7 linked regions of the Ovis aries genome follow. The protein of the gene in region 1 purifies or fractionates together with the protein of each later gene. This does not show direct contact. Links are inferred from orthologs where the notes say so. Each region holds a gene or a part of one and is shown in the gene's direction. Other genes may lie near its edges.

Evidence for each region.
Region 2: the proteins of OTUD5 (region 1) and SLC7A11 purify together in Homo sapiens (affinity purification with western blotting; 3 studies listed by BioGRID, with this or other methods). This does not show direct contact. The link is inferred for Ovis aries from reciprocal best matches to the Homo sapiens genes OTUD5 and SLC7A11.
Region 3: the proteins of OTUD5 (region 1) and CNP purify together in Homo sapiens (affinity purification with mass spectrometry; 3 studies listed by BioGRID, with this or other methods). This does not show direct contact. The link is inferred for Ovis aries from reciprocal best matches to the Homo sapiens genes OTUD5 and CNP.
Region 4: the proteins of OTUD5 (region 1) and CTPS2 purify together in Homo sapiens (affinity purification with mass spectrometry; 3 studies listed by BioGRID and IntAct, with this or other methods). This does not show direct contact. The link is inferred for Ovis aries from reciprocal best matches to the Homo sapiens genes OTUD5 and CTPS2.
Region 5: the proteins of OTUD5 (region 1) and CDK4 purify together in Homo sapiens (affinity purification with mass spectrometry, with the first as the bait; 4 studies listed by BioGRID). This does not show direct contact. The link is inferred for Ovis aries from reciprocal best matches to the Homo sapiens genes OTUD5 and CDK4.
Region 6: the proteins of OTUD5 (region 1) and EEF2 purify together in Homo sapiens (affinity purification with mass spectrometry, with the first as the bait; 3 studies listed by BioGRID). This does not show direct contact. The link is inferred for Ovis aries from reciprocal best matches to the Homo sapiens genes OTUD5 and EEF2.
Region 7: the proteins of OTUD5 (region 1) and RUVBL1 purify together in Homo sapiens (affinity purification with mass spectrometry, with the first as the bait; 3 studies listed by BioGRID). This does not show direct contact. The link is inferred for Ovis aries from reciprocal best matches to the Homo sapiens genes OTUD5 and RUVBL1.

The regions. Positions count from the first base shown.
Region 1 is NC_056080.1:56,126,291-56,130,302, forward strand, and holds the start of OTUD5 (OTU domain-containing protein 5), read left to right. Parts: upstream 1-1,212; 5' UTR 1,213-1,980; coding exon 1,981-2,574; intron 2,575-4,012. UniProt on the Homo sapiens protein: Deubiquitinating enzyme that functions as a negative regulator of the innate immune system. Has peptidase activity towards 'Lys-48'- and 'Lys-63'-linked polyubiquitin chains. Can also cleave 'Lys-11'-linked ubiquitin chains (in vitro).
Region 2 is NC_056070.1:19,545,137-19,548,636, forward strand, and holds part of SLC7A11 (cystine/glutamate transporter), read left to right. Parts: intron 1-358; coding exon 359-508; intron 509-1,979; coding exon 1,980-2,157; intron 2,158-3,500. UniProt on the Homo sapiens protein: Heterodimer with SLC3A2, that functions as an antiporter by mediating the exchange of extracellular anionic L-cystine and intracellular L-glutamate across the cellular plasma membrane.
Region 3 is NC_056064.1:41,862,419-41,866,421, forward strand, and holds the start of CNP (2',3'-cyclic-nucleotide 3'-phosphodiesterase), read left to right. Parts: upstream 1-1,203; 5' UTR 1,204-1,292; coding exon 1,293-1,295; exon of another isoform or gene 1,296-1,427; intron 1,428-2,510; coding exon 2,511-3,180; intron 3,181-4,003. UniProt on the Homo sapiens protein: Catalyzes the formation of 2'-nucleotide products from 2',3'-cyclic substrates. May participate in RNA metabolism in the myelinating cell, CNP is the third most abundant protein in central nervous system myelin.
Region 4 is NC_056080.1:14,927,440-14,930,939, reverse strand, and holds part of CTPS2 (CTP synthase 2), read left to right. Parts: intron 1-3,353; coding exon 3,354-3,454; intron 3,455-3,500. UniProt on the Homo sapiens protein: Catalyzes the ATP-dependent amination of UTP to CTP with either L-glutamine or ammonia as the source of nitrogen. Constitutes the rate-limiting enzyme in the synthesis of cytosine nucleotides.
Region 5 is NC_056056.1:161,900,495-161,904,475, forward strand, and holds CDK4 (cyclin-dependent kinase 4), read left to right. Parts: upstream 1-1,333; coding exon 1,334-1,551; intron 1,552-1,717; coding exon 1,718-1,853; intron 1,854-1,968; coding exon 1,969-2,136; intron 2,137-2,288; coding exon 2,289-2,398; intron 2,399-2,648; coding exon 2,649-2,699; intron 2,700-2,844; coding exon 2,845-2,980; intron 2,981-3,388; coding exon 3,389-3,481; downstream 3,482-3,981.
Region 6 is NC_056058.1:17,828,224-17,832,363, forward strand, and holds the start of EEF2 (elongation factor 2), read left to right. Parts: upstream 1-1,340; 5' UTR 1,341-1,423; coding exon 1,424-1,426; intron 1,427-2,450; coding exon 2,451-2,665; intron 2,666-3,516; coding exon 3,517-3,698; intron 3,699-3,789; coding exon 3,790-4,001; intron 4,002-4,140. UniProt on the Homo sapiens protein: Catalyzes the GTP-dependent ribosomal translocation step during translation elongation.
Region 7 is NC_056072.1:59,390,508-59,394,648, forward strand, and holds the start of RUVBL1 (ruvB-like 1), read left to right. Parts: upstream 1-1,341; 5' UTR 1,342-1,415; coding exon 1,416-1,556; intron 1,557-4,141. UniProt on the Homo sapiens protein: Possesses single-stranded DNA-stimulated ATPase and ATP-dependent DNA helicase (3' to 5') activity; hexamerization is thought to be critical for ATP hydrolysis and adjacent subunits in the ring-like structure contribute to the ATPase activity.

The DNA.
Region 1 (4,012 bases):
ATTCAGTGTGATAATTTGCATAGGCATTTGGCACAGTGCCCTAAACACAAGAAGCTCAGTAAACGTGAGTCTTCTCCTCCAATTTAGTCTCATAAGCAGAAAATACTATTATAGTCTTTATTACTGACACCTTTCAGGGAAGACCTTTAACTAGGGTTGGCATCTGAAGGGAGAAGGTTAGGTGGCACTGAAGAGAGTTATATGATGGCCTATTATATGGCTTGGCTCCTAACACTGGCAAGGAGCCCTCGCATCTCACAACACTTTCTTCGTTCATGAGCTCAACTCACCCCCATAACTAGAGGTAGTCTGGGAAGGCGTTATCATTCCTGTTTTACACATGGGTGAGCGACTTCACTTTCACTTTTCACTTTCATGCATTGGAGAAGGAAATGACAACCCACTCCAGTGTTCTTGCCTGGAGAGTCCCATGGACGGGGGAGCCTGGTGGGCTGCTGTCTATGGGGTCGCACAGAGTTGGACATGACTAAAGCGACTTAGCAGCAGCAGCAGCAGCAGCAGCAACCTCAAATTTGAGACACTGACTTCCTCAAGGTCATACAGTGGTAATGGTCCACATGTGCCTGGAACTGAGGTCTTCCTGACTCAAAAGGTTGGGGTCCTTTCCATTGCACCACAGTACAGACTAATTAGTGATGTGCCAGGCATTGCACCAAACCCTTTGCAAGGATTAACCTTTTATCTTAAATTGGGATTATCATTGCCATTTACAGAGAAGTAGAAATTAAGGATGGGGTGGGTATTAAATGACTTGTCAGAGATCACCCAGATTGAAGAGGCACAGCTAGGATTAGCTTGTAGTTCTCCATTCGTTCAGTAGCAGGTAAAATTCCTGCAGTAAAGACGCTGGCTGGTGACCGAGCTGGTTTATAAACATTGCTCGATTCAGGTAAACAGTTTCAGAGGAGGGGGAAAAAAAAGAAAAAAAATTATGTGCCGCGCCTGCGCGCTAGCCACGGAGGCGGGGAGGTCAACGCGAGGGCGAGTGTACGCGGATGCCAGAGAGGGCGTGTTTGCTTCCCAAACACCCACTTGTCCCCACGATGCATGTCTGTCCCAAGGTTGGCCCGTCCGACTTGAGTGGTGGCATCTCTTAACCAATCACCGCGGAACTCGGCCTGTTGCCAGGGTGAGGCGGCGCCCGCCTCTCCACCGGATGTGAATTTGTAGGTGGGTGGAACCGGAATTGACGCTTCAAGGGCTAGCTAAGCTCTGGGAGTGTTGATATTTTTGCAGTCAGTCCGGCTGACTTCGGCCAACTTAAAAGCCTGGAAGGGAGGCGACTTTAAACTTGTGCGTGGGCAAGCCACGCTATTCTGTCGCAGTGCCCGCGCCTGCGAGCCAGAGCCTCGGGGAAAGAAGAGCCGGACGGAACCAGTGAAGGGAAAGGCAAGGAACAAGGGTGCCGACTTTGACTGAAATCTGAGACGGAGGGCAGGGGAGGGCGACGTCCGCTTCTGATTGGCCCGTGGTCATCATCGAACACCCACGCAACCGCTTCGATTGGTTGGTGCTCGCAATTGTTGTGGCGGCGGCGAAGATTTTGCCCACGTACTTCCGAACAAGAGGCGGGGCTGTGCCCCGGCGCGCCTGCGCAACGTTCCAGGCCCCACCCGGTAGTTCAAGAACCTGCGAGGGGGCGGGGCGAAGAGGTGCTTGTTTTGGTTCTGTTTCCTTTGAAGCCGTAGGCCGGAACGAGCGTAGCAATAAAGTTGTTGGACTTGGAGAGGCTACGACAAGCTCGCCGCGGTGCCTTAATCTTGGACTTCACATCCGGGTTCTCCTGCCGCGTGACCCGCGTTCCGCCGACGGTTCGAGAACCGGTGCAGCGAGCTCTTTATCCGGGTCCCGGCGATCCCGTCGTCCTTCGCGCACCACTGTAGCCCCCCCCACCCCATCCGGGTCCTCTCCCAGCGTCCCCCGCGGCGGGTTTGCTGGGGGCTACTCGGCGGTGCCGCCATGACTATTCTCCCCAAAAAGAAGCCGCCGCCTCCCGACGGCGACCCCGCCAACGAGCCGCCGCCGCCCGGACCGCTGCCCCCGGCGCCTCGCCGCGGCGGGGGTGTAGGCGTGGGCGGCGGCGGCACGGGTGTGGGCGGCGGCGACCGCGACCGTGACTCGGGCGTCGTGGGGGCCCGTCCCCGGGCTTCGCCACCGCCTCAAGGCCCTCTTCCAGGGCCACCGGGTGCGCTTCACCGCTGGGCGCTGGCCGTGCCGCCTGGCGCCGTGGCGGGTCCTCGGCCACAGCAGGCCTCTCCACCTCCTTGCGGGGGCCCCGGAGGTCCCGGCGGCGGTCCTGGTGATGCGTTGGGTACAGCAGCGACGGGCGTGGGCGCGGCGGGTGTGGTGGTGGGCGTGGGCGGTGCCGTGGGTGTGGGCGGCTGCTGCTCAGGGCCGGGTCACAGCAAGCGGCGGCGTCAGGCCCCCGGGGTTGGTGCGGTTGGCGGGGGCAGTCCTGAGCGTGAGGAGGTCGGCGCAGGTTACAACAGTGAGGATGAATATGAAGCGGCTGCAGCGCGTATAGAGGCCATGGACCCCGCCACCGTCGAGCAGGTATGGGCATTGGGATGGGGGAGGTGAGTGAGTGTGGTGGACGGGATCCCTAGACTGGCTAGGAACCCAAGGAAGGCTGTTTGAGCCTGCTCCAAGGGGCCTATGTCTTTTCTCTTGAGTCTGGCACTCTTCCCTGGTGATGGGGTTGCGATATACTCTCCCACCCCGCCCCCCCCCCCCCCCCCAGGGATTTGGGATTAGCGGCCCCAGATAAGATGGAGGATTTAAAGATGGAGTCTGTGGTCTCTTCTAGGACCCATAGTTGATTGTGGGCCCTGGGGCCTCATCGTGTAGGGCCAGTAGGTAGGCACTCCCCAGGAGAGACAGGCAAGGAGAGTCTCGTGACTCTCCAAAGGACCTTGGTTTGTGTTTGGTGACTTGAAATTTCTTTTCCCCTGGAATGAGATTCTTAAGATTCCTCCTCCTGGGAATACAAGTAAGGTGGCTACCTCAGAGATACGAGTGTCCCCAGGATACCTAAATCCTTTTCAGGGGTCTGAGACACTATATAGGACAACCCTTTCTCCTCCTCAGGGGGATACAGCACAGGACCATGCAGCAGTGGAGTCTGAGACTCCCTTTTCTAGAAGTCAGGGACCTCACACACACACACACACACACACACACACACACACATACATATTCTCCTATGATCTCTTTCCACTTGAGTACTAGGATCAAAACCAACACCCTGGGACCAAAAACTCTACTAGGGTACATGAGATTCATCCCTTTCTAAGTGACAGGGGTCTGTGCTTTCTCTAAGGGATCTGAGACCTCCTTGGAGACAAGAGTCTGAATCTTTCTCTAGGAGCTTAAGCTTTTTTTAAGGGCTGGACACGCCTCCCCCAAGCTTAAACCTTTCTTCAAGAAAATGAGACTCACTGTTTTGTATACTGGAGCCTAGGATTCCCCCTGCTTATAGACTGGGCTTTTAGGTCTGAAGCCCTCTTCAGGAAATTGATATCCTCCTCAAAGGTCTCTAGGGGACTTTACTACTCAGGGACTGGTCTGAGTATTCTCTTTGGGCATCTGAGACCCACTGTGCCAAGGATTCTTGCGCTTTCCCTCAAGGATAAGAGATGCATACATACCTCACTAACTGGCATGTCTCTAGAGATGAGGTCCACGCTTCCCCCTCAAGGAACTTAAGGCACTCCTTGGGAGCAGGAGGTCTCCCAGGACCAGAATTGAGCCCTGAGACCTTTCCCTTGGGGCATGGATAGAGTCCCTCTGGAATAGGGTTCTGCATCTCCCATCATGAGTTTGACTTTGCCTCGGGTTCATGAGAGACACCTCCCCCACCTTAGGACCTGATTAACTGAACCTACCCTGAAAGAACTGTCCCCTCACTTAAAACAGCATATGTGTACCCTAGTCTTAAGAGGCCTTTTGCGGTCATAAAATTTCCTGCCTTGGGGACTTGAGCCTAAGCCCA
Region 2 (3,500 bases), on another chromosome or scaffold:
TTCTGTAAATTTTTGTATTGGATACACTTTTAATTTTCATTGTTAGTTATTAACCATCTCTGCCCTCTGGATCTTTAAATTTTGAGTTATTGAGTGTCCTGTGTTTTACTCTTGGAAAACACATTCTCTTAATGAAAAACAACAAAAAATAACACATCCATGTATGTGTGTATGTAGGAGTAAAGAGTAAGATATAGCTAGGAGGGTAGTTGAGTATAGATTTTAATCACGATCCTAGTTAACCTGTGAAAATAGTCATTTGGAAAATACAATAATATTGTATAGTGATGTCATTGCTTATTATCATGTTTGTTCCCTTTTAACTCACTGAGTGTGATTTTTTTCTTCCTTCCCCCAGCACCCTTTGACAATGATAATGCTCTTCTCTGGAGACCTCTACAGTCTTCTGAATTTCCTCAGTTTTGCCAGGTGGCTTTTTATTGGGCTGGCAGTTGCTGGGCTGATTTATCTTCGATACAAACGCCCAGATATGCATCGTCCTTTCAAGGTAACCTCAGCAATCTTCATGGGTTTACATAAATCTTCCTCCTAATATCTGGTCCTCTCTTTGTCATAACTTGATGATGAGAAGCTTGGGCAGAGGGCAGAATCCTCTAAAATAAAACGTTTAACTCTTGCAGGTAATGCCTTCATATGGGATTTATTTTAGTTTGGAAAAAATGGTTGATTAGCTTGTTTGTGATGTACAGAGCTTTGTATGTCGCACTTTTGAAAAGGAGTATTAATATTAAATGGTCGTTACACTGATTTTTCATTAATGTGCCTAATGATCTGATACATTCAAAGTATAGACTACTCTTTTATGCTGAATAGTTGTGGACAATCATGCTGAGAAAGAGTGAGGCAGATACATATGAAATCATCACTAATTAATACTCTAAAAAGGAATTATTGTTATTTAAGAACTAAATCATGTCTGACTCTTTGTGATCCCATGGACTGTAGCCTGCCAGGCTCCTCTGTCCATGGGATTTTCCAGGCAAGAATACTGGAGTGGGATACCATTTCCTTCTCCAGAGGGTCTTCAAAAACCAGGGATCAAAACTATTTCTCTTGCATCTCCTGCATTGGCAGGCCAATTATTTATCACTAGCATTACTAGGGAAGCCTCTAAAAAGGATGCTGCTTTTCAAAAAAGGCATTTTGAGTATTCTTGAATGTTATGACTTGTTACATTGGCCCTTTTCTGCATCATGCACTCCAGAAGTAATAGAGATGTAAAATACTTAAGAAAGTGAAGATGTCTGAATTTACCACTTAATAGAACATCCATTTACCATAACGATGCATTTCCTTTTGGGAAGGCTGACGAATATGCTTCTCATCTCCTTCAGCCTTGAATGTTCATGGTTTGATTTGAACTCACTATGTATTTGCTTTTAAGAAATAACACAGATAATGTTGTCCATCATGTTGTCAGCATTTTTTTTCTAATTATATTCATTACCTAATGCTAGCGACATCTTTATTAGTGGTTGAATAGGAGTTGGCCTATTTTATCCCTGTCAGTTCATATTGTGAATCTCCAACAGAAAATCAATATGCACTGAAAGGCTTTAACATGTAACAAGCAGCCTGTGCTCTTGGCTCTACATTAAAGTGGATTCTAATCATAATTATCAAAGAAGCAATCTTTTACAATCAGAAACATAAATCATAATGGTACTTAACTAGTAAAATAATTCAAACAGAATGTCTCTAATGAAACACACTTATTTATCCTTAGATTTTGTTCTACCCAAAGATTTATTTTTAATTTAAAGGAGTGTTTTCAAATCAGTATCTGCTCTGTGCCCTACTCAAGAGATTTTCGTAGGAAGGTAAGTGGGATGGTGCCTGTCACCTGGTCACGTGATCAAAGTGTATCACCTGATCTCATGACTGCAGTGCTCAACTCGGATCTACCTTCTGTCTCCTAAGCCATGCTTGAAGTGGTTTTCTTTTTTGCTATGTTCCAGGTGCCGCTGTTCATCCCAGCTTTGTTTTCCTTCACGTGTCTCTTCATGGTGGCCCTTTCCCTTTATTCAGATCCATTTAGTACAGGGATCGGCTTCATCATCACTCTGACTGGGATTCCTGCGTACTATCTCTTTATTATATGGGACAAGAAACCCAAGTGGTTCAGAAGAATGTCGGGTAAGATTTTTAAGCAGTTTTAGGACCTTTGAGAGACTGTGTTGTAGAAAGTCCATCTCTGCATACGTATATGATACATACCTTAAAGTCTGAAAATACCACTTAGGAAACTGCTAATTTGAATATATTACTGCATTCTAATGAGAACTTGAAGAAGAAAAGGCCGGAAGGATTTTTAGGGTAGAGTCACTGAATCCTTTGAGGGTATTTAGTTTGATTTTCTTTAATCACTTCTTAGAAGAACAAATTTTTGTATAGAATTTTTATAAGCAGTACTATAAACAACCTAATTTTTCTACTGAATCCTTCACTTACCTAATTGTTTTTATCCTGGGCTGAATGCACTTTATTGATTCTATATGATAACACACTAATTAATGAGTGGTGTGAGATTTGGTGGGAGGTCATGTAGAGTCTGAAAAGTTCTCAAGTATCATGATTTCTTTTATTATAATATTGCCCAACTGGTGAATCATGGAGAATCATAGGAACAGTAAGAATAATCAAGAAAAGAAGAGCAGTTGACAATTACTGAGTAATTTCTATGTGTTAACATACAGATATATAACCATATTTAATCCATAATCATATATATAACCATATTTAATCCTTATATCAACTTTCTGAGCTAGAAAAAAATTATCTGTATTTTATAGATTTTGAGTTATGATATGGAAGAATCCATACAACCAGTTCCAAGTCATGAAGATATTAAGTAGGAGACCTAGAATTCCCACTTGGGCAGATTTGCACTTTCCAAAAGTCATCCTGATGAGAGGGACAAAGAGAATGGAACAGAGAGCATGAGGCTGAAGACATTCTCAAGAATAGTGATTAGTGGTTATCACAGTAATCCTGACAGAACTGAGAAAAGTCTGAACACAGGTGATGTTGGCAGGGTCCAAAGGAAAATGAAAGATATTAAAGATGAAAAATCAGCAGAGCTTGGTGAGCAGGTGTGTTGAGGGAGGAGAAAATATAGGAAATCAGTAGGTAGGAAGAGTACTTAGGAATAGCCTCTGCCAAAAGCCATCAAAAGCCTGTCCCTCCGTCAGGGGCTAGGAGACTCTCTCTTACATCACCGTCTCTTTCATTCCTCCACAAGAGCCACGTGTGAATTTGTTGATTTCTATACCCAGATGGGACAGCCAGAATGCAGGAAGATGTAGCACTTTTTAAAAAATGTATTTCTCTTTGACTGAAGGATAATTGCTTTCCAATATTGTACTGGTTTCTGCCATAGATCGACAGGAATCAGTCATGTTGTACGTTAGGTACAAACATGCCCTCTTCCTCTTGAACCTCCCCCATCTCTCCCCACCCCTCTAGGTTGTTACAGAGTC
Region 3 (4,003 bases), on another chromosome or scaffold:
CCATTGCCATCCTAGTTCCAGCTCCACAGTTCCTGGAAGGGTTGGGCTTGATTGGGGCAGAGGCTGACTTTGGGCCTGCCAGACTAGGGGGAGGCAAGTGAGGCATTTCAGCTGCAACTTTTAAGGAACATAGGGTCAAAAAACTCAGTAAGCAAGAGAAACAGTATTTTAACGCAATATCGCAAAAAAAAAAAAAATTGCAGAACTCTGAGAAACTGAATATTTCCTGCCACATCAGTAAACAAGGATGTCACAGCCAGCAGCGATTGCAGCCACCATGGAAGGTGAGCTGGTGAGCCCCAAGGGCGCACAGAAAGGGGACTACCTGCAATCTAGCAGAAACCAAAGCACTCCCTACGGTTGGGCCCTGAGGAAAGGAAATTCAGGATGTGAAAAACGCAGGACACAGGCTCCAAACAGCTGAGGTGCCTATTAAAGGAATGATTTCAGTGAGTCCACACTCTTGCATGTTCCCATACATAGAAAAGTTCTAAATTCCTTAACTTGGGATACCTGGTTTTCTTTAACAATAATCTTTTCCACGTTCAGATTACCTGCCCTTTGTTGGAAAACTTCTATATAATGCAGCTCCTACTCTCGCCTGCTCAGAGCAGTTTTCTCAGCGTTACTTGAGATGCTATCTCCCTGGCTTGAAATCCTAAAAATTCCCGCGGAATAAAACAACTCTCAGCTTTCAGGTTGTGAATATTTTTTAAACCAACAGCCTGATGATGAGTAAAATATCAAAATTTTAAAGAAAGACAGGATTCGCCTTCGCACTTGCACAATCTTGCCTCAAATCTAATCTCTACACTGGGCCAGGGAGGGGGGTGCCTGCTTGCCTCTTTACCGAGTGCATCATTACCGGGGTGCAAGAAAAAGAGGCCAAACCCCCGCTCCCCAGCCCCCATACCCTGCCCCTGCACAGGCGCCTCCAAACAGGTGCTGGCCCAGGGCTGGCGCGCCCGCAGCGGGCGGGGCGCAGCGCTCCGCAGCTTCCTCCCAGGGCTGAGTGAGCGTGGAGTTTCGATTCGCAGGGCCTGCGCAGAGGGGGTCGGCCCAGCCCGCCCCCGCCCCGCCCCGGCCCGCCCCCGCCCCGCCCCGGCCCGTCCCCGCTCCGCCCCCGGCCCGCCCCCGCTCCGCCCCCGGCCCGCCCCCGCTCCGCCCCGGGCTATGTAAGGCGGCTCCGCGTGGCTTCGTGCCACCGCTAGACTCCGTGTCCCTCCGCGCAGGCGGGCGGCCCCGGAGAGCTAGTGCTGCGAAGGCGGCGACGGCGGCGACCCCTTCTCATCATGGTGAGCGGGAGGGCTGGGCCGGGACCCTAATGCAAAACGAGAGTATTGGGGGACTTAGGGGCGGGGGGGAGGAAGTGGCATGCAAATGAGGACTCGAGGTTCCGGAGTTGAGTCGGGGCTTTCTTGGCTGAGGTAGGGGCGCCGCGGGGAGCATGGGGAGAGGGGTTGGCGCTGGAGAAAGAAGGGAAGTAGCGAATCGAGCCTCAGAAGCAGCTCCCTCGGAGCACACCCGGGTGGCGGGTGGGTCGGGGTAGCGAGCACTGGGCCGCTGGGCGGGCATTCGGCACCTCCTCCCTGCCCAGGGCCTCGTCTGAGATAATGTGCGCCTGCTGAGCTGTCTGGGTGCTGGCGAGAGGTGGGGCCTCGCGGCTTAGAGGAAAAGGCGCTTTACAGTAAAAAGTGTTGCCGCCTGTGGCTTGCGCAAGCAGGAACCCAAGTGGCTCAGAGAGGTGCTGCTGACACACAGCAAGGGGTGCGAAGACCTAGACTCCGACGCAGGTGCCCTGTACCGCCCAGTCCTGAGGCAGGCACAAAGACCACGACTTTGTGGGGGGCCCAGGGCAGAGGAGGAGGTGGCAGGCTGTGCTGAATGAAGCCCTTTGTCTAGCGCTCTCTGGCCCAGCCCCCCACCAGTCCTTCTGTGGGACCATTGTCCCCCAATCCCAGACAAGAGAGTATTATCTGTTACTGGCATTGTTGGGGGAAGGGAGGCGGTCTTTGGGTGACCCTTCTCCACCCCCACCCTCCTCGATGCCCTCAGGGGCCAGGGCAGCTGTGGTTTTACCCAGACATAGAGCCCTCCACCTCCAAAGAGGTCATCCTTAATAGAGGCCAGGAATATAAGTTAGGCTTCACTTCTAGAATCGCAGGCTTCAGGCCCTCCCCTGCAGGCACTTCCCACCAGTTTTCCTTTCAAGGTGGCCGCAGTGGGTGATCCTTGAGGCCACGATTCTCCTTAAGAGTTTGGGACTGCCCAGACAGCCCTCTGCATACTGCACAGCCAGAAGCCCTCAGGTCCCAAGGACGGAGGAGAGACCATCTAGAACCTCACGGCTTGGGAAGGCGCCCACGGCCCCGGGGGTGCCTGTCAATCAAGGGTTGGGGTGCCTGGAGTGGGGGGATTCCTGGATAGGGCCAGGCCTGAGAAGAAGAGGCGAGGCTGGCGGGGCGGCCCTGCGTGACCTGGCTGACGCCTGTCTTCCCCTCCTCACACAGAGTAGAGGCTTCTCCCGAAAGAGCCAGACGTTCCTGCCCAAGGTCTTCTTCCGCAAAATGTCATCCTCAGGGGCCAAGGACAAGCCAGAGCTGCAGTTTCCCTTCCTGCAGGATGAGGAGACGGTGGCCACGCTGCAGGAGTGCAAGACGCTCTTCATCCTGCGAGGCCTGCCTGGGAGCGGCAAGTCCACGCTGGCCCGGTTCATCGTGGACAGGTACCGGGATGGCACCAAGATGGTGTCTGCCGACAGCTACAAGATCACCCCCGGCGCCCGGGGGGCCTTCTCCGAGGAGTACAAGCGGCTGGACGAGGACCTGGCTGCCTACTGCCGCCGGGATGTCCGGGTCCTGGTGCTGGATGATACCAACCATGAGCGGGAGCGGCTGGAGCAGCTCTTTGAGCTGGCCGACCAGTACCAGTACCAGGTGGTGCTGGTGGAGCCCAAGACGGCCTGGCGGCTGGACTGTGCCCAGCTCAAGGAGAAGAACCAGTGGCAGCTGTCAGCAGACGATCTGAAGAAGCTGAAGCCTGGGCTGGAGAAGGACTTCCTGCCGCTCTACTTCGGCTGGTTCCTGACCAAGAAGAGTTCCGAGGCCCTCCGCAAAACTGGCCAGACGTTCCTGGAGGAGCTGGGCAACCACAAGGCCTTCAAGAAGGAGCTGCGACACTGTAGGTGGCGGGGTGGGTGGGTGGGGCACTCAACCTTATGAGCCCCCTTGCTAGCTGGGCATAGGGTGCTGCGTGGCTGGGACCATTGTTCTCCAAGCTCTTGGGGGATGCAGCGGGGCTCACCTGGCGCTGGCAGAGGTCTCCTGGGGCGGTGCACACGCAATGGGACGTGGGAGAGATGTTCACCAGGGACTTTCCCTCTCACCGTCTCCCCAGCTGCCCTCTCCCAGCCTGGAGCTAGACCACCGACCCTGTCTTAGAGGTGGGGAGAGCAAATTGCATACTGTCATAATAGGAAGTACATCAACATTTCATAGAACCCTGGAGGGAGAGTCTGGTCCAATGTTTTCAAATTCATTTTTAGCTGCAGAACCGTTTTCTAAAATACAATATGCCATGGAGTCCTAAGCTGCAGAAAACTTACTACTAGAACTATTGTAAACACCAGCGGGGACGGTTCCCAGGCCCTGAGTTAGCCAGTGCACCTCCTGTGGTATTGCACAGCTCCAGAGAACAGTCTGCTAGAGTCCAACCTCATTTTTGCAGATGGGAAATGCACAGAACGGATGTGGGATTTGCCCAAAGCTATCTTGAGAGCCCTAGACTCTATCGCCTCTAGAGGAGCCTTCCCTTACTGGGTCGGACCAGAGTGCCCTCCTGCTGTTTGCTCCACAGAGAAGAGAGATTTGGGATAGGGAAGGGCCCCCTAGTGGCTCTTCTCCTCCAGTGACCTGTGGGGGACATGTCACCCACCCACTAATCATCTCTTCTTTTAACACATTCCTAGTTGCCCCCCACCCATCAATTTTAGACTTGAAATATC
Region 4 (3,500 bases), about 41 Mb from region 1:
ACCAAGCAAACTTCAAGTTTATCCTCCATGTTCCTGATTATATTTTCATCAGTCTTTTCTTTGTTACTAAGTCATTGTTTCCTTTAGCCCCCTTTTCTGCCCTCTTTATCTTTCTCTCTCTAGCTTTTATTTATGAAATCCATAGGGAATCTTCATCACATATCTGATTGGGTGTAGATCTGAGTCAATTTTTGTCTGTCCTTAATATGTTCTTTTTCTACTTTTTTCTTAAATCTTTGCATTGATGATGATTACTTCCTTGTGAAGAATAGCAGTGGGAAGGAACATGGGATTGAACAGGAGGGCAACATGATGACTTTTTTCACCAACCTTTTCCACTGGTCACATGTTTCTGTCAGGTTGCTTTACTTCTACAAAATATCAGATTGATTCTAGTGGAAGCACACAGTTCTTTTATTAAGCAGACACTCCCAAGATATGGGAGCAGACCAACAGCAAAGGGGTGGTAACAACTCCCACTTGGCTTCCCTTTTTATATTCCCTGTCTCCTCCTCTTGGTTCTGCCCTATGCAAAATAGGGCTTGTACCTACCACCAATCAGGAAAGGGAATGCAAATTGGCATACACACAAGGCTGATTGACAGTTGCGAGTTACATAATAACAGGCTGTATTGTGCATCTCCTTCCCATAATTCAGTCTGTTATAATCAGATGTATGTATGTATAGAATATTTATGAACCCTTAAAGCTGGCTACGGTTACTTGAGGACACAGCTGTGCATCAAGGGCGCATGTGCTGGAGTTGGAGAAGCCACTGTGATTATTTCTGTAGCATATTGTGAGCTCTCCTGGGTGTGTCTGGGTTGGTGTTTAGACATCAGCTTGCATCCTTTTCACCTAGACCACCCCTCTTGTTCATGCCTAACTTCCTACCTAACAATTCTGATTATTCTCTTTTGTCGTCTGTAACCCTTGCCCCTTGTATTCATAAGTTCCTATGTGGTAGGGAACAGGCTAGCAAAGTAATGCTCAAAATTCTTCAAGCCAGGCTTCAGCAGTGTGTGAACCGTGAACTTCCAGATGTTCAAGCTGGATTTAGAAAAGGCAGAGGAACCAGAGAGCAAATTGCCAACATCCGCTGAATCATCAAAAAAGCAAGAGTTCCAGAAAAACATCTACTTTTGCTTTATTGACTACATCAAAGCCTTTGACTGTGTGGATCACAGCAAACTGTGGAAAATTCTTCAAGAGATGGGAATATCAGACCACCTTACCTGCCTCCTGAGAAATCTATATGCAGGTTAAGAAGCAACAGTTAGAACCAGGCATGAACCAACAGACTGGTTCCAAATTGGGAAAGGAGTATGTCAAGGCTGTATATTGTCACCCTGCTTCTTATATGCAGAGTACATCATGTGAAATGCTGGGCTGGAGGAAGCACAAGCTAGAATCAAGATTGCCAGGAGAAATATCAATAACCTGAGATAGGCAGATGACACCACCCTTATGGCAGAAAGCGAAGAAGAACTAAAGAGCCTCTTGATGAAAGTGAAGGAGGAGAGTGAAAAAGCTAACTTAAAACTCCACATTCAGAAAACTAAGATTATGGCATCCAGTCCCATCACTTCATGGCAAATAGATGGGGAAACAGTGACAGACTTTATTTTCTTGGGCTCCAAAATCACTGCAGATGGTGACTGCAGCCATAAAATTAAAAGACGCGCTTGCTCCTTGGACGAAAAGCTATGACCAACCTAGACAGCATATTAGAAAGCAGAGACGTTATTTTGTCGTCAAAGGTCCATCTATTCAAAGCTGTGGTTTTTCCAGTAGTCATGTATGGATGTGAGAGTTGGACCATAAAGAAAGCTGAGCACCAAAGAATTGATGCTTTTGAACTGTGGTGTTGGAGAAGACTCTTGAGAGTCCCTTGGACAGCAAAGAGATCCAACCAGTCAATCTTTAAGGAAATCAGTCCTGAATATTCATTGGAAGGACTGATGTTGAAGCTGAAACTCCAATACTTCGGCCACCTGATGCGAAGAACTGACTCATTGGAAAAGACCCTGATCCTGGGAAAGACTGAAGACAGGAAGAGAAGGGGATGACAGAGGATGAGATGGTTGGATGGCATCACTGAGTGGATGGACATGAGTTTGAGCAAGTTCCAGGAGTTGGTGATAGACAGGGAAGCCTGGCCTGCTGCAGTCCTCAGGGTCGCAGAGTCGGAAATGACTGAGCGACTAGACTGAACTGAACTGAACTGCATGGTAGGGTAAAGATGCTAGTTTCCCACCCCGTTTAAATCACCTTCAAGTTGAAAAGCAGGTGGGAAGTAGATAAAGAAATTGGACAGATGGAGCTCAAAAGATCAGCTGTGTTACTGCTGACACTTGATGGTGTGGCTTAGATCTCAACTATTGATGCAGTTGTGCTTTCTAATAGTTTTCCTCTACTGGGAAAACCTGCGGGAGGGAGAGTTTGCTGCCTCATACCAGTCACCTCTCCAAATTAGGGAAAGGGCAAGATCCCAAACATGGACCTGCAGTCTGAGTGCCTGTGCTGCCCACGTGGAGGGAGAGCTGACTTACCCAGTCCTCACAGAAAGGTGTTGGGCTGGGCATGCTGCAATGGGTCGTTCCAAATGCACCAATCAGAGACAACTTCCTCCCACCTCGAGTGAGGGGAGGGGTGCCTGGGAGCCCCAAGGGCTGGTGGGGCAGGTGACTGACTTGACAGGCGCTTCTCCGCGTCAGCTTCCCAGAGGCCACCATTTCTCCTTCTTACGTCGTATTAGGTTAATTAGAAACAAAAACACTTTTTTTGGTTTCTTTGGCTGAGACCAGCAGCTGCAGGCTTGCTCAGCACTTAGGTAGCCCAGGGCTTCGTGCTCGTGGAGATGCCACCTTTTAGCCTCCTCAGCTGAGAGTAGCTGCTGCGGGCCTCTGGTCAGCCTGCAGGCCTCCTCTACATCCTCTCAGTGACTGCTCCCCACTGGCTGGTGGGCTGCCCAGGGTTTGCAGGGCTGGGCCACTCTGCGTCCTTCTTCCGCTGGGAATTCGGCATTCAGCACCCGTAGCGGCCCTCCTCGCATAGTTTTTAGTTGGCATTTTAGGTGTTTTCTAGTTGCTTCAAAGATGGCACTTCTGCTCTGTGTTTCTCTGGGGTTGGTGGGTTTCAAGAGAGATGGCATAGCATTTAAATGACTAAATCTCTGTTGGGTCAGTGATATTAATTTCAGTGACATGGATAGTAACACTAGGCCTGGAGCTTGTCTCATTTGCCAGGTGGTTTTCAGGTTATTTGGGAGGTCAACAGACACTAATACATTCATTTCTCATAACCGTGACACTGAAATACTCTTTTGTGCTAATTATTACCTCTTTCTGCAGTTGTCCCTCACATTACTGATGCTGTCCAGGAGTGGGTTATGAATCAAGCCATGGTGCCCGTGGATGGTCATAAGGAAGAGCCCCAAATATGCGTTATTGAGGCAAGCATGGAACTTTATTTCTATATAAGTTTGTATCCTTATTAGT
Region 5 (3,981 bases), on another chromosome or scaffold:
TGGTGATGGACAGGGAAGCCTGGCGTGCTGTAGTCCATGGGGTCGCAAAGAGTCAGACACGACTGAGCAACTGAACTGAACTGGGCACCGTCTACTCCCTATTTTATATGACCACATATAAACTATGTGACTGTATCTTTATAGATAAAGGTCAAGTGTCTGCGACACTTGTCGAAAAAAAATTAACAAAAAAAAGAAACCCCACAGACACACAGGAAGCAAGGACTCAGTAAACATTTGCTGAATGAATGAATGAAACAAAGACACAAATGAGAACATGTTTTCTGCTAGCGATGGAGCAGAAAGACGACAGCAGCACCTCCCGTCCCTCGACCCATCTCCCCGCTTAGAGAGAGTGAGAGACAGGTAGTGAGACTCAGGCTCGGCTTGCAGCCCGGAGTTGGGAATCCTGGGTGGCCCAGGTTGCCATGGCATCGCATTGGACTCCACCCTCTCTCTTCTCCCGCCCCAACGCCCAGCCAGAGTTAAGGCAGCCAGTCACGTGCCCTTCAGCGTAACCACACCTCTGCTCCTCCAAGCAATGTCAAGCGGTCACGTGTGATAGCAACAGATCATGTGGTTGCCATCTCTCTCCGCCTCTTTCCCCTCCTCGCCCCTTTCTCGTTCAAAGCCGCTTTCTGGCTGCCCCTCCGCGCATGAGTAGTCCGGTCACGTGGTCCGAACGTCCGGCGTTGGCCCCGCCCCTCCAATTTCCGCGCGCCTCTTTGGCAGCTGGTCACATGGTGAGGGTGGGGGTAAAGGGGGCCGCTCTAGCCTGCGGCCTGTGTCTATGGTCGGGCCCATAGCGTCCAGCTGCCCAGGACAGACCTCGAGTGTATGGCGCTGCAGGAACCGGCTCCGGGGTCCGGATAACGGGCCGACCCCGCAGCTCCTGACACGGGGCGAGGTGAGTGTAGCCCTTTTCAGGAATGGGGACCATTCTCGCCGTCCACTGCTTCCTACGCGGGCTGGTTATGGAAGGGTTGCTCGAGGGCGGGAAGTGGGGCAGGATGTGATAATGTTCCTTTGTGGCCGAAGGGAGGTGTAATTTCAGGAACTGGGTGTCGGGTCTTTGATGTAGGGGGTGTGTCTTATGGGATTTCCCTTGTGTGGGGCTTGATGGTCCCCAAGGAAAATGCATCTTTGAAAAAGTTATAGGGCCTCACGTGGCTGGAGGGTTTGGGGTTAGAGTTATTGTGTTACCTAGGGGGCTGCCTTCAGGGAAGCTTGGGAATGCTGTTGGTGTTGTCTTCGTGATGTCTTTTGTGGGAGTCACTTTGTTGCTGCAGGCTCATTGAGCCTCTGTGATTGTAGGGCCTCCTCTGGTCTGAGAATGGCTACCTCTCGATACGAGCCAGTGGCTGAGATTGGTGTCGGTGCCTATGGGACAGTGTACAAGGCCCGTGATCCTCACAGTGGCCACTTTGTGGCCCTCAAGAGTGTGAGAGTCCCCAACGGAGGAGGTGCTGGAGGGGGCCTGCCCATCAGCACCGTTCGGGAGGTGGCCTTACTGCGGCGTCTGGAGGCTTTTGAGCATCCCAATGTTGTCAGGTGAGAAGAAGATGGAAGGGTGGGAATGGGTCGTGAAAGGAAAAAGACAGCCTAACCTGTAGATGTGGAGTGGTGGTCAGAAGAGGAGTGGGAACCCTGAGGAAATAGGGGAGGCCATGTTGGGTCCAAGACCATTGCTCAATGAGTGACCATTTGTTCTGGCCAGGCTCATGGACGTCTGTGCAACAGCCCGAACTGACCGGGAGACCAAAGTGACCCTGGTGTTTGAGCATGTGGACCAAGACCTCAGGACGTATCTGGACAAGGCACCCCCACCAGGCTTGCCAGTGGAGACCATAAAGGTAAGTAGGGCGGGCAGACACTGAGAGATAGCTTGAGACCTTTGTGGTAGTTTGTTGTAATTTCAGGTGTGGCACCTGATTCCCAGTTTCTCTGTACTTCCCCCTTCCAAACCAGGATCTGATGCGCCAGTTTCTAAGAGGCCTGGATTTCCTTCATGCCAACTGCATCGTTCACCGAGACCTGAAGCCAGAGAACATTCTGGTGACAAGTGGTGGGACAGTCAAGCTGGCTGACTTTGGCCTGGCCAGAATCTACAGCTACCAGATGGCACTTACACCTGTGGTCAGTAGAATGATGGTGGCCAGGATGGGGCCAGAGTGGGGTCTGGCTGGGGGAGAAGAGTGATTGCCCATAACAGTTGAGAAGGAGCGTGTTTTTCCATGTGCTTTGCAGTAACTTGCAGGACTCTCATCCGCATTACTTATTCCCATCAGGTTGTTACACTCTGGTATCGTGCTCCAGAAGTTCTTTTGCAGTCTACGTATGCAACACCCGTGGACATGTGGAGTGTTGGCTGTATCTTTGCAGAGATGTTTCGTCGAAAGTATGGGGCCCAAGTATCCCAAACATTTTGAATTTCCCAAGTTTTTTATTCATAAGCCACGCCTATACCCTGCCTGCTCTTCCACTTACTATTGGCCACCTTGTCCATAGCCGGAAACTCTGAAATGTTCTGGAATTAGGAATTTCATAGCCCTTTATTCTCCACACCCTATGTTTTGAGCCACTAAACAGTATCTACCACCCTGTCTTTGTAAAACTGCTACTGGAATGACTGTCTCTTTTCACCTTAGGCCTCTCTTCTGTGGAAACTCTGAAGCTGACCAGTTAGGCAAAATCTTTGAGTAAGTGACCTGCAAGGGGGAAGAACTTTGCATTCCGAGTCCTTGACTTTGCATTCTGCTGAGTCCTTGACAGCAGCTGGCTCTGCCCCTGGAGATGGGGGCTGGAAAAAGGCCCTCCTGACCAGAATTCTCTTGTTCCCCATAGCCTGATCGGACTGCCCCCGGAGGATGACTGGCCCCGAGATGTCTCTCTACCCCGAGGAGCCTTTTCCCCCAGAGGGCCCCGCCCAGTGCAGTCAGTGGTCCCTGAGCTGGAGGAATCCGGAGCACAGCTGCTGCTGGTAATAGACTCAGGCATGGGCACAGGGCGAGACTACAGGGGGAAATCACGTGTTTGTCACTCAGTCCTGTCAGACTCTTTACAACCCCATGGACTGTAGCCCACTGGAGTGGGTTGCCATTTCCTTCTCCAGCGGGTCATCCCAGGGATTGAATCTAGGTCTCCTGCATTGCAGGCAGTTTATTTTACCACTTGAGCCATCAGTGGGGGGAAATGGAGCAGGATAAAAGGGACCCAAATGCATTGTTGTTACTGAGACTTGATAATGAACAGGTTGGTTTTTATTACTGTTTTGAACGGCTGGCCACAAGAGGGATAGAAAAAAATCACCCATTCTAGGTATTGTTAGGGTTAAGCAGGAGTCCCTTTTGTTTCTTCCATGTTTTCTGACATTTGCGTCTCTTCTCAGGAGATGCTGACTTTTAACCCACACAAGCGAATCTCTGCCTTCCGAGCCCTGCAGCACTCTTATCTACACAAGGCAGAAGGTGACGCAGAGTGAGCAACAGAATGGCTGGAACAGAACCAAGGCGAGAGACACAAATTTCCCTTCTTTTGAACACTTGAGTGGAGAGCCCCACCACTGAGAAGGCAACCTCTGCCTTCACCTCTGAAGCTGTGGAGACGACTCCTCCAACTTTTTACAGACAATATTTTACTGCCTTAACAATATTCCCCTCCCACCCTTCTTTTTGAGGCTTATCCTTATCCTGTGTCCTTACACCAAGAGATATGTCCCTTGTTCTCCCCTTCTTTATACCTTTATATTGGGATCCTTTTTTATACAGGACAAACAAAACAAATATGGTCTTTTTTTTTTTTTAATATTTCTTCCTCTGATTGGCTTTACTGTTTGGGAATTTGGAAAAAACCATTTGGAAGATGGAATTTCCTTGCAGATTCTCTTTAGATCACAGGGTCAGTGGAGCCCCTCTACTAACAAGGGAAGGAAAGGCATTTACATGGCTTCTTTGATTATAGAGTTTAAATGGTTTTTATTTT
Region 6 (4,140 bases), on another chromosome or scaffold:
GGGCTGTGACCGCGCTTTACAAAGCAAAATGCGTAAAGCCCTTTGTAGGGATAGGAGAAGACAGTCTTATTTTAGAGTCTATCCGAACTTGCATAGCTTTTTACAGAGGCACAACTGTTTCTTCTCCTTCCAGCGCAGGGAAATCACTGCAGGCTCCCTTCTTTTGACAGCGTGAATTTAGGGGAAGATTTATTGAAGGGGATTTATTTACACTAATGAGAATATGATTACCTGATGCAAGATATACTTATGAGCGCCTACTGTGTACCAGGCATTGAGCTGGGCTCTTTATAAAGAATAAAGAACCTGAATTACATGCCAGTTCTTTCCCTGGAGTAGAAGATCCGATATACAACGGTTTCTTAGGGTCAGATCAGGACACGAATACAAAATAGTGTTCCTGCGCCTCCCCCTGGAGAGAAAATGAAGTAGGAAATGAGATTGCGCATGTGGAAAAGCGCTTAGCTCCCACGCTTGCGACGCAGCAAGCCAGTCCCTAAAATGTGTTCTATAATGGTAACGATAACTAATTAGAAATATCTGAGGAGTATTGAGAACTGTGTCAGACTCGGTGCTAATTCCTCTAAATGTATTTAGTGAATTTTACTCTCCCTCAAACAAAGAAGTAGTATTGATCATCCCGTTGCGCAGATAAAGAAACTGAAGCATAGAAAAACCTGCATATCTAATGTAAGAACACTTAAAGTGATGGAGCTGATAAGGTGTTTTATTTACTGTTTTATCCACAAAACCTATAGCAATGCCTGCCGCAGTAGACGGTGAATTTGTCGTTGTGGGAAAAGTGGGTGATTAATATCTGCTTTTGAAAAGTTTTTTTGTTTTAAGAAATAATTAAAGACGGGTGACTGCAGAACTAGTCCAGAGGTCCAAGTACTCTTCTCCCAGTCCCGGACCTAGTACTGTCAATCATCTTACACCATATCAAACCTTAATCTTAGTACAATCCACAGACCCTGTTCACATCGTAATATCCTTTTCACTGAAGTGCTTGGCACTTTGCAAAATGACATAGTTCCTAACATATGGTTAATAGTCGCAGCTAAAATGCCACTCTGCTTTCTGCATCTAAGTAGTGCATCCTGGAGGCGTGCACCCAGCTCGAGGCAACCACGCCCCCGGGAAAATCCAAGCATGGAATGCAGACCCTTGGTATTAGAGCAGCCCCGCCGCCGCCTAAGGGGTTACCCGGGCGGGGTGCTGTTGGGGAGGGTGTTCATGCGCTTGCGCGCCGCGTCGCTTCGCTCCGCCCCCGAAGCGCGGTCAGATGACCCGCCCAACCGGCGTCGGCCTATAAAGTCTCGGGTGTTGACGTCAGCGTTCTCTTCCGCCGTCGTCGCCGCCATCCTCGGCGCGACCTAGCTCGCTCGGATCTGCTTGGGAGAATCCACCGCCATCCGCCACCATGGTGAGCAACGCTGTTCAACCGGGGACCTGAAACGGCAGCGAAGCTTCGGCAGGGCTGGCGCTGCCAAGCCTGGGGTCTTGTGGCCTCCCTGACTGGGAGGAGACATGGCGGCGGCGGGGCCGGCGGGGCCGGAGCAGGTGAAGCGGCTGCCGCCATGTCTGCGCGCCGCACTGCTCGCGACCTCCGCTTCCGGGGGCGCCGCCGCCTCGCGGGGTCCGGGGTCCGGCTAAAGCTGGGGCGGAGGCGGGGCGGGGGGTATGATGATGTGGCAGACGCTGTAATGGCGGGCGCCGCAGCGCGAGCCGGGAGAGGGGAGCCGCCTTATGTAACCCGCGGGCCGGGAGTTTCAGTCTGATTTTTTGTCGGGAGCCGTGGGCGTCTTGGAAATGGCTAAAGGAGAGAAGAGTAAGACCTTTAGAAGCGCCCGATCTTCTCCCGCTGTGTAATGTTATTTTGGTCTCTTGTCTTTCTTGAACCTCCCAATTGTGAACACCTGATCCTGGAGCCACGAGGTGGAGGTTCGCGCCTGTTAGGGCTGCGCAACCCCCCCTCCCCCAAACCGGGGGTGGCATATTTACGAATCAAAGGTGGGGTGTTGGCTCTGACCCCCACAACCCCAGCGAGGGGTGACCTTGGAGTTCGGAGACCCCTTTTGGTTGGGAAGCCTCGCGGTATACCAGTGGCCGCACAGTGGGACACTTGAGGTTCAGCCAGACCCCATGAGACTCCAGTATCTACTAGTATAAAGGGAATCTGTTGTCACTCATTGGGACTTAGTCCCCAGTTTCCGTTCTGAGTTGTCACTTTGGGTGTGACAGCCAAGATTAGGCTTTTCAGGGACAGGGTGAGTTGGACATCTTTAAAGGGGTGTTAACAAAGGGGGATTTAGGTCGGAGTTGGCAGCACCAGGGACCAGCCTCTTTTGGCTAGGGCCTTGCAGCCTCTATTGATCAAAGTCTCTGTGCCAAGGGTCCTTCCTGGAGTGCTGGCCTGTCATGACCCTCCCCTCCTCCACCCTGCCCAGGTGAACTTCACAGTAGACCAGATCCGGGCCATCATGGACAAGAAGGCCAACATCCGGAACATGTCTGTCATCGCCCACGTGGACCATGGCAAGTCCACTCTGACAGACTCCCTGGTGTGTAAGGCGGGTATCATCGCCTCTGCCCGGGCTGGGGAGACCCGCTTCACTGACACCCGGAAGGACGAGCAGGAGCGTTGCATCACCATCAAGTCAACGTGAGCAAGTCCCCTGGTGTCGTCTCCACAGGGAAAGCGGGGTGCTGCTTGCTCTGAGTCCTTGGTAGTGGGCGGGCTGGATAGACATAGGCCTTTTCTCACAGGGTTTTGGGGAGAGGAGCACTTTGGAGCTGGGCTTCTGAACTGGGAGGGATGATGGAGCTTCATCTAGTGGGATGGGCACCTTTGTCTCCAGGGGAAGAGGCACAGTGACGGGTGGTAGAGTTAAGGAGGTTGGAGGGGAAGGGAGCTGGGGGCTCTTGGCAATATCTGGAGAAGTCTGAGGATGGTATTGGCATCTGGGGTCAATGCCAAAGTCTTGCTCTGCGCACGCCAGCCTCCTGTGAGTTTTCTGGTCCCAGATGTCATGGTGAGAACCTCCCTCCACCCCAAAGAAAAAGCAATGATGGCAGTTGTCTTCATTTAGTCGTTTGTCCTTGGTCGTTGCTCTGAGACTCACTTCCCTGCAGGGCAGGGAAGGGTGGAAAGGAGCCTTTGGGCTTTCTAGCTCCTATGCAGTAGCTGCTTTTTTACAACAGGTGTGTCAAGCCTGGGACGACCTAGGTGGACTCTGGTGCCAGGGAAGTGGCTGTCCCTGGCAGAGGGTGCAGCAAAGATAAATGTCCCAGATGGCGGTGGCTTTTCTGTTGGGAGTCTTAAGTTCATCTTTAGGGATGAGTAATGCAGGGAGAGGGGACAGGTTGCAGCATCTGCCTGGCTTTTTATTGGATCCCAGCCTCATTTAGGAATGAAGAGTGTCCGTCCTGACTCCCCCTCGGTGGGAACCTGATTGACCACAGGCCAGGCTAAGGTGTGGCTTCCACCTGGCTCACCTGTCCCCATTGTTTCAGGGCCATCTCCCTTTTCTACGAGCTTTCAGAGAACGACTTGAATTTCATCAAGCAGAGCAAGGATGGCTCTGGCTTCCTCATCAACCTCATTGATTCCCCTGGGCACGTCGACTTTTCCTCAGAGGTGACAGCTGCACTCCGTGTCACTGACGGTGCCTTGGTGGTGGTGGACTGTGTGTCTGGTAAGCAGTGGGCACCCCCTAGGACGGCTTGGAACCTGGTGCTGTCCCTTCTCTGGCTGCAAGAGCCGCCTCATCCCCTGCTGTTCTGCAGGTGTGTGTGTGCAGACAGAGACGGTGCTGCGCCAGGCCATTGCTGAGCGCATCAAGCCAGTGCTGATGATGAACAAGATGGACCGGGCCCTGCTTGAGCTGCAACTGGAGCCTGAGGAGCTCTACCAAACCTTCCAGCGTATCGTGGAGAATGTCAACGTCATTATCTCCACCTATGGCGAGGGCGAGAGTGGACCCATGGGCAACATCATGGTAGGACAGCCTGACTGCTGGGTTTAGGGTACTTTTCTCTGTCTTCATAGTAGTCCCTTCACTGCTCCTGTGGGGCAGACTGGAAGGGCTGTGGTCTTGAGCTGCCCCTGGGGAACTGCTTCTGAATCAGTGACTTCCT
Region 7 (4,141 bases), on another chromosome or scaffold:
TACCAAGTCCGGTTAAGATCCAGTGTGTAAAATACACGCAGCAAAACTGCCTGACTCCGTGGGAACGGGGGGGGGGGGGGGGGGGGGGGGCGGGGTTCCAGAACCGGGCAGAAGCCTTAGCTATGAGCCAGACACTGACGCTAAAATGACGGACAGCAGCGACGAGGTCTGCGCTTTCACAGCGCCTGCAGTTTAGTGGGAGAGGCTGACTCTGACCGGACAGTCATGCAAGTAACTGGAAACCTAGACTCAGAAGTGATGACGGAGAAGCGCAAGGAGAGACGAGAGTCAGCAACCACTGCAGCACGATGTGGCTTCAGGCCTGTCTCAGCCCCGATCCAGAAAGGCCCCCCTGAGCTCTGGGCAAGTCCCTCGTTTCTCTGGACCTGAGTCCACTTACCTGCGACATGGCAAAGCACCATCTTCTCCTAAGAACGTTAGCCTGCCATCAGGGTTCCGTGTGGGCATTACCATATCACCTTCTGGTGCCTTCCTAGGCTCTCCAGCTGTTCCAGGTGGCCTGCTTGGGGCTTGCACACCTCACCATCGCAAGCTTCCCAACTAAGGACTAAGCTTGTTAAGGCTGCAGACTTTGTATTTAAGCCTGCATCGTGGAGTGTCCGGCTCAGAGCAGGTGCAAACCAACGTTTATTGAACGGATGGGTGGATGGGAAGAGCACACTGTTCCAGGCAGCGCTGACATTTTCATGGAACGGACAGGACGCAGCCGCGGGATGACCGTCCAATCCGAGGGCTGGGATGAGGGTCCCACAGGCTGCCGCGCCTTAAGCCCTCAGCAGAAATTCCAACTGCTGATTACTTGCTGCGCGCTCTTGGGTGACTTGCGGGGCCTCTTTGCGCCCGCATCTTCATCCGGACTAGGAATTACCCTAAACGAGTAAAGCGAGAGGCGGAGGCGAGGGGACGCAGAGGACAGGCCCCTGAGGACGCTGAGCACGGCCTCCCCGAAGACGGCGGCAGGAGTGGCTGTCAGAAAGCTGCTCAGCCGGCGCAGGTCGAAGCTTGAGTTCTAAACCTGTCTGTTCGTCTCCGACACCGAGGTCGAACTTGAGCTCCGCAGAGCGGTATCGGTTCGAACGCGCTCACGGCCGGAAGGCCCGGTGAAGAGCGGGACGCGCGCCCCTAGTGAGCCGCAGCGCCGCCCGGCTAGTCCCTACCCAGGAAGGAAGCGCCCCCCGCGGGGGAAGCCAACCGTGGGACACCGCCGGAAGCTGGTGGGCGGGCCCTACCGGCAGCCGCGACGGGCGCAGCCAGGAGCCAATGGAGCGCGGAGGCGTTCCCGCCGCGGCCAATGGGACGCCGACCTAGGCGGGACCAACCGCCTGGTAACGGCCTCGTGGTGACGGGGTGCGCGCTGCCTGGGCTGTGCGGGCTCGGGGGCTGCGGTTGTCAGGATGAAGATCGAGGAGGTGAAGAGCACCACGAAGACTCAGCGCATCGCCTCCCACAGCCATGTGAAGGGGCTGGGGCTGGACGAGAGCGGCCTGGCCAAGCAGGCGGCCTCGGGCCTCGTGGGCCAGGAGAACGCGCGTGAGGTGTGGCGCGGGCGGCGGGGCGGGCCTGGCGGGGCGGCGGGGCGGGCCTGGCGGGGCGGCGGGGCCGGGGCTGCGGCGGGGCGGGCCTGGCGGGGCGGCGGGGCCGGGGCTGCGGCGGGGCCGGGGCTGCGGCGGGGCCGGGGCTGCGGCGGGGCCGGGGCTGCGGCGGGGCCGGGGCTGCGGCGGGCGGCGGGGCGGCGCGGAACCCTGCTCTCCCGGACCGCGCGTTTCGGACACAACGTTTAAACCGCCCAACGGGAGTGTTAGACTTTGGGGACGGGCTCTGGGGGGCTTTCTGAGAGCGCATTGCGAGGCCCTGGGATTTTAAAGCCGGCAAGTGGCCAGGCTCGGCAGGTGACGGGTACCGAGTCCTTTTTGACCATTCCACTTAAAGCCCATATCTACCGAGGGATGGCGGTGCCCGGTCCTTTCTGCTGCATTATTATCACAGAACTATTCAGGCTCTTTTTTTTTCTTTTTTTTAATTGTTGCTTTTTTTGTAGATGAAAAAATTCAGGGTGAGAGACCTGTCCACCCAGCCCCCTGGCGACTCAGTTTAGTAACACTGGAGTTTGTGCCTGTGTTTCTGACTCCTGAGACAGTGCTGTCTGTGTAGCAGTCCCCCTCAGCCCGTTGCCAGGACCTCTGCTGTGGCTCAGCAGCTCTCAGTCCAGGCCAAGACTCTTGCCCTCTAGCCTAACTGTGCTAAGAAAGGGCCAAAGAGAAGCCTCCATTCTGGACACCATGCTTGCAGAGGGGAAACTGTGGCAGGATTAAGGTGACTAGCTTCTCTTTATCCAGCCTCAGCTGTCTGAGAGGCTATCACTGCAGAGTCGCTGCGTCCTCTCCACGTGCTAAGCAGCCCCGTTTCCATCGTCCTATCGTCCCCTCCATCCTTAGACTGCCCCTCTCTGCTTTTTTATGGCACTCTTCTGACGTACGGCAAAACTGAAAGAGCTGTGTACCTGTGTGCCCAGGTTCTACAAGCGACACTTCACGCCGTTGCTTGTCTTCTGTCTGTCCATTTAGCCCTCCAGCAGGCTGCCTTTGCATGTCACGCTCAGTCGCAGACATTAGTATACTTCACCGTAAATCCGATAGCATTCGGGCCTCGGTGTTACGAATTCTGTTTTTGGACGAGAAAACTGTGTTTCACAGAGATCAGGTTATGGGTCTCAGATTACTCAGCTGGTGCTTGGCAGAGCTAGGCAAGGCAGCCTGACTCCAGAATCCACGCTGTTAACTCAGCTGCTATGTGCCTCCATCTGAATATGAGCTTCCCAAGGATAGAGACCGGGTGGTGGTAAATATCCAGAACCTGGGTTATGATAGGGACTCAGAATTTATGTGCTGACTTATTAGTCATCCCACCGCTGCCGCCAGGTCCTTGTTTGGGTCTGGTCACATCACCAGCCTCCTTGGTGTTTAATAGGCTCACCTGAAAAATGAGAGTTACAGCTCTCTAAAGGCCCTTCCAGTTCATGCTTTTTAAATCTTGGAATTCACTGGAAGAAGCTCACTGGAGAGAAGGAACCTAAATGGAAGCATATTAACGGGAAGAGGGGGTGTGTGAATAAGAGCACACAGACAAGGCTTGAAAAGTCTTCCTCCTCTTTGAATCGCCCAGAGCTCCAGTGCTGAGGGTTATGAATGATGTCAGAGGTCACTGTGGAAGGACCTCAGTGGCTCCTTTTTCTTTCTGAAAATGCGACCTCTGAAGAATCTCTTCTGGGCTGTGAAAGTGTGCCGTGCTCTCCCAGCTGAGCCAGAAATGGGGTGGAGCACGTCCACGTGGTTTCCGTGAACCTGTGTTTTGAGGGGCTGTCTAAGTGTGAGAGCAAGATACGTCTCCACAGTCCGTGGGGAAAAGAGAGAGAAGAGCAGGTGTTCACAAGACGTTGTCAGCAAGGTGCTGTCCAGGGAGAAAACCTGTGACCTGCCTTGAGACAAATGGAATGCACCTCGGAGAGAGGCGCGCTTTGAATCGTGTAAGGGATCTTGTGTAGTCTCAAGATACAGGAGTTCAGGGAGTGTGACTTTCTCAGCCTTGCTCCAGAAATGCTCTAAAACGCATACAATCAGCAACCCGTTTATAGACTTTCTGTGATGGACATTCATATGTGTGTCAGTATACAGTGGGCCCTTGAACAGCATGGGTTTGAACTGCATGAGCCCACCGCATGCAGGTCTCTTTCAGTGTATAAGTGTTAGGACCCTTGGCTGCCGTCACGGATGTGCAGGGCTGGCTGTAGAGTTATGTGCTGATTTTTGACTGCGTGGAGATTGCGCATCCCAGCTTCAAGGGTTCGTGGGTCAACTACACATATGGATGTATGTGATTATACATATAAATACACACACAGTGTATATGCTGTACAGAATGGCTTAATACTCAGAATGTTTACAGTACGCTAACAACTAATTTAATCTTTAGGATTTGAAAGGCAGTTCTTGGGTCTTATGATGCCATAGATTAAACATCACATGTAGCGCTTGCTTGCAGCCTCCTGGGATAGTTGACTGATGGCCAACTAGTAGAGTGTGTCATTGACTCTTAGTACTTGGTGGGTTAATTTGAGAATCTA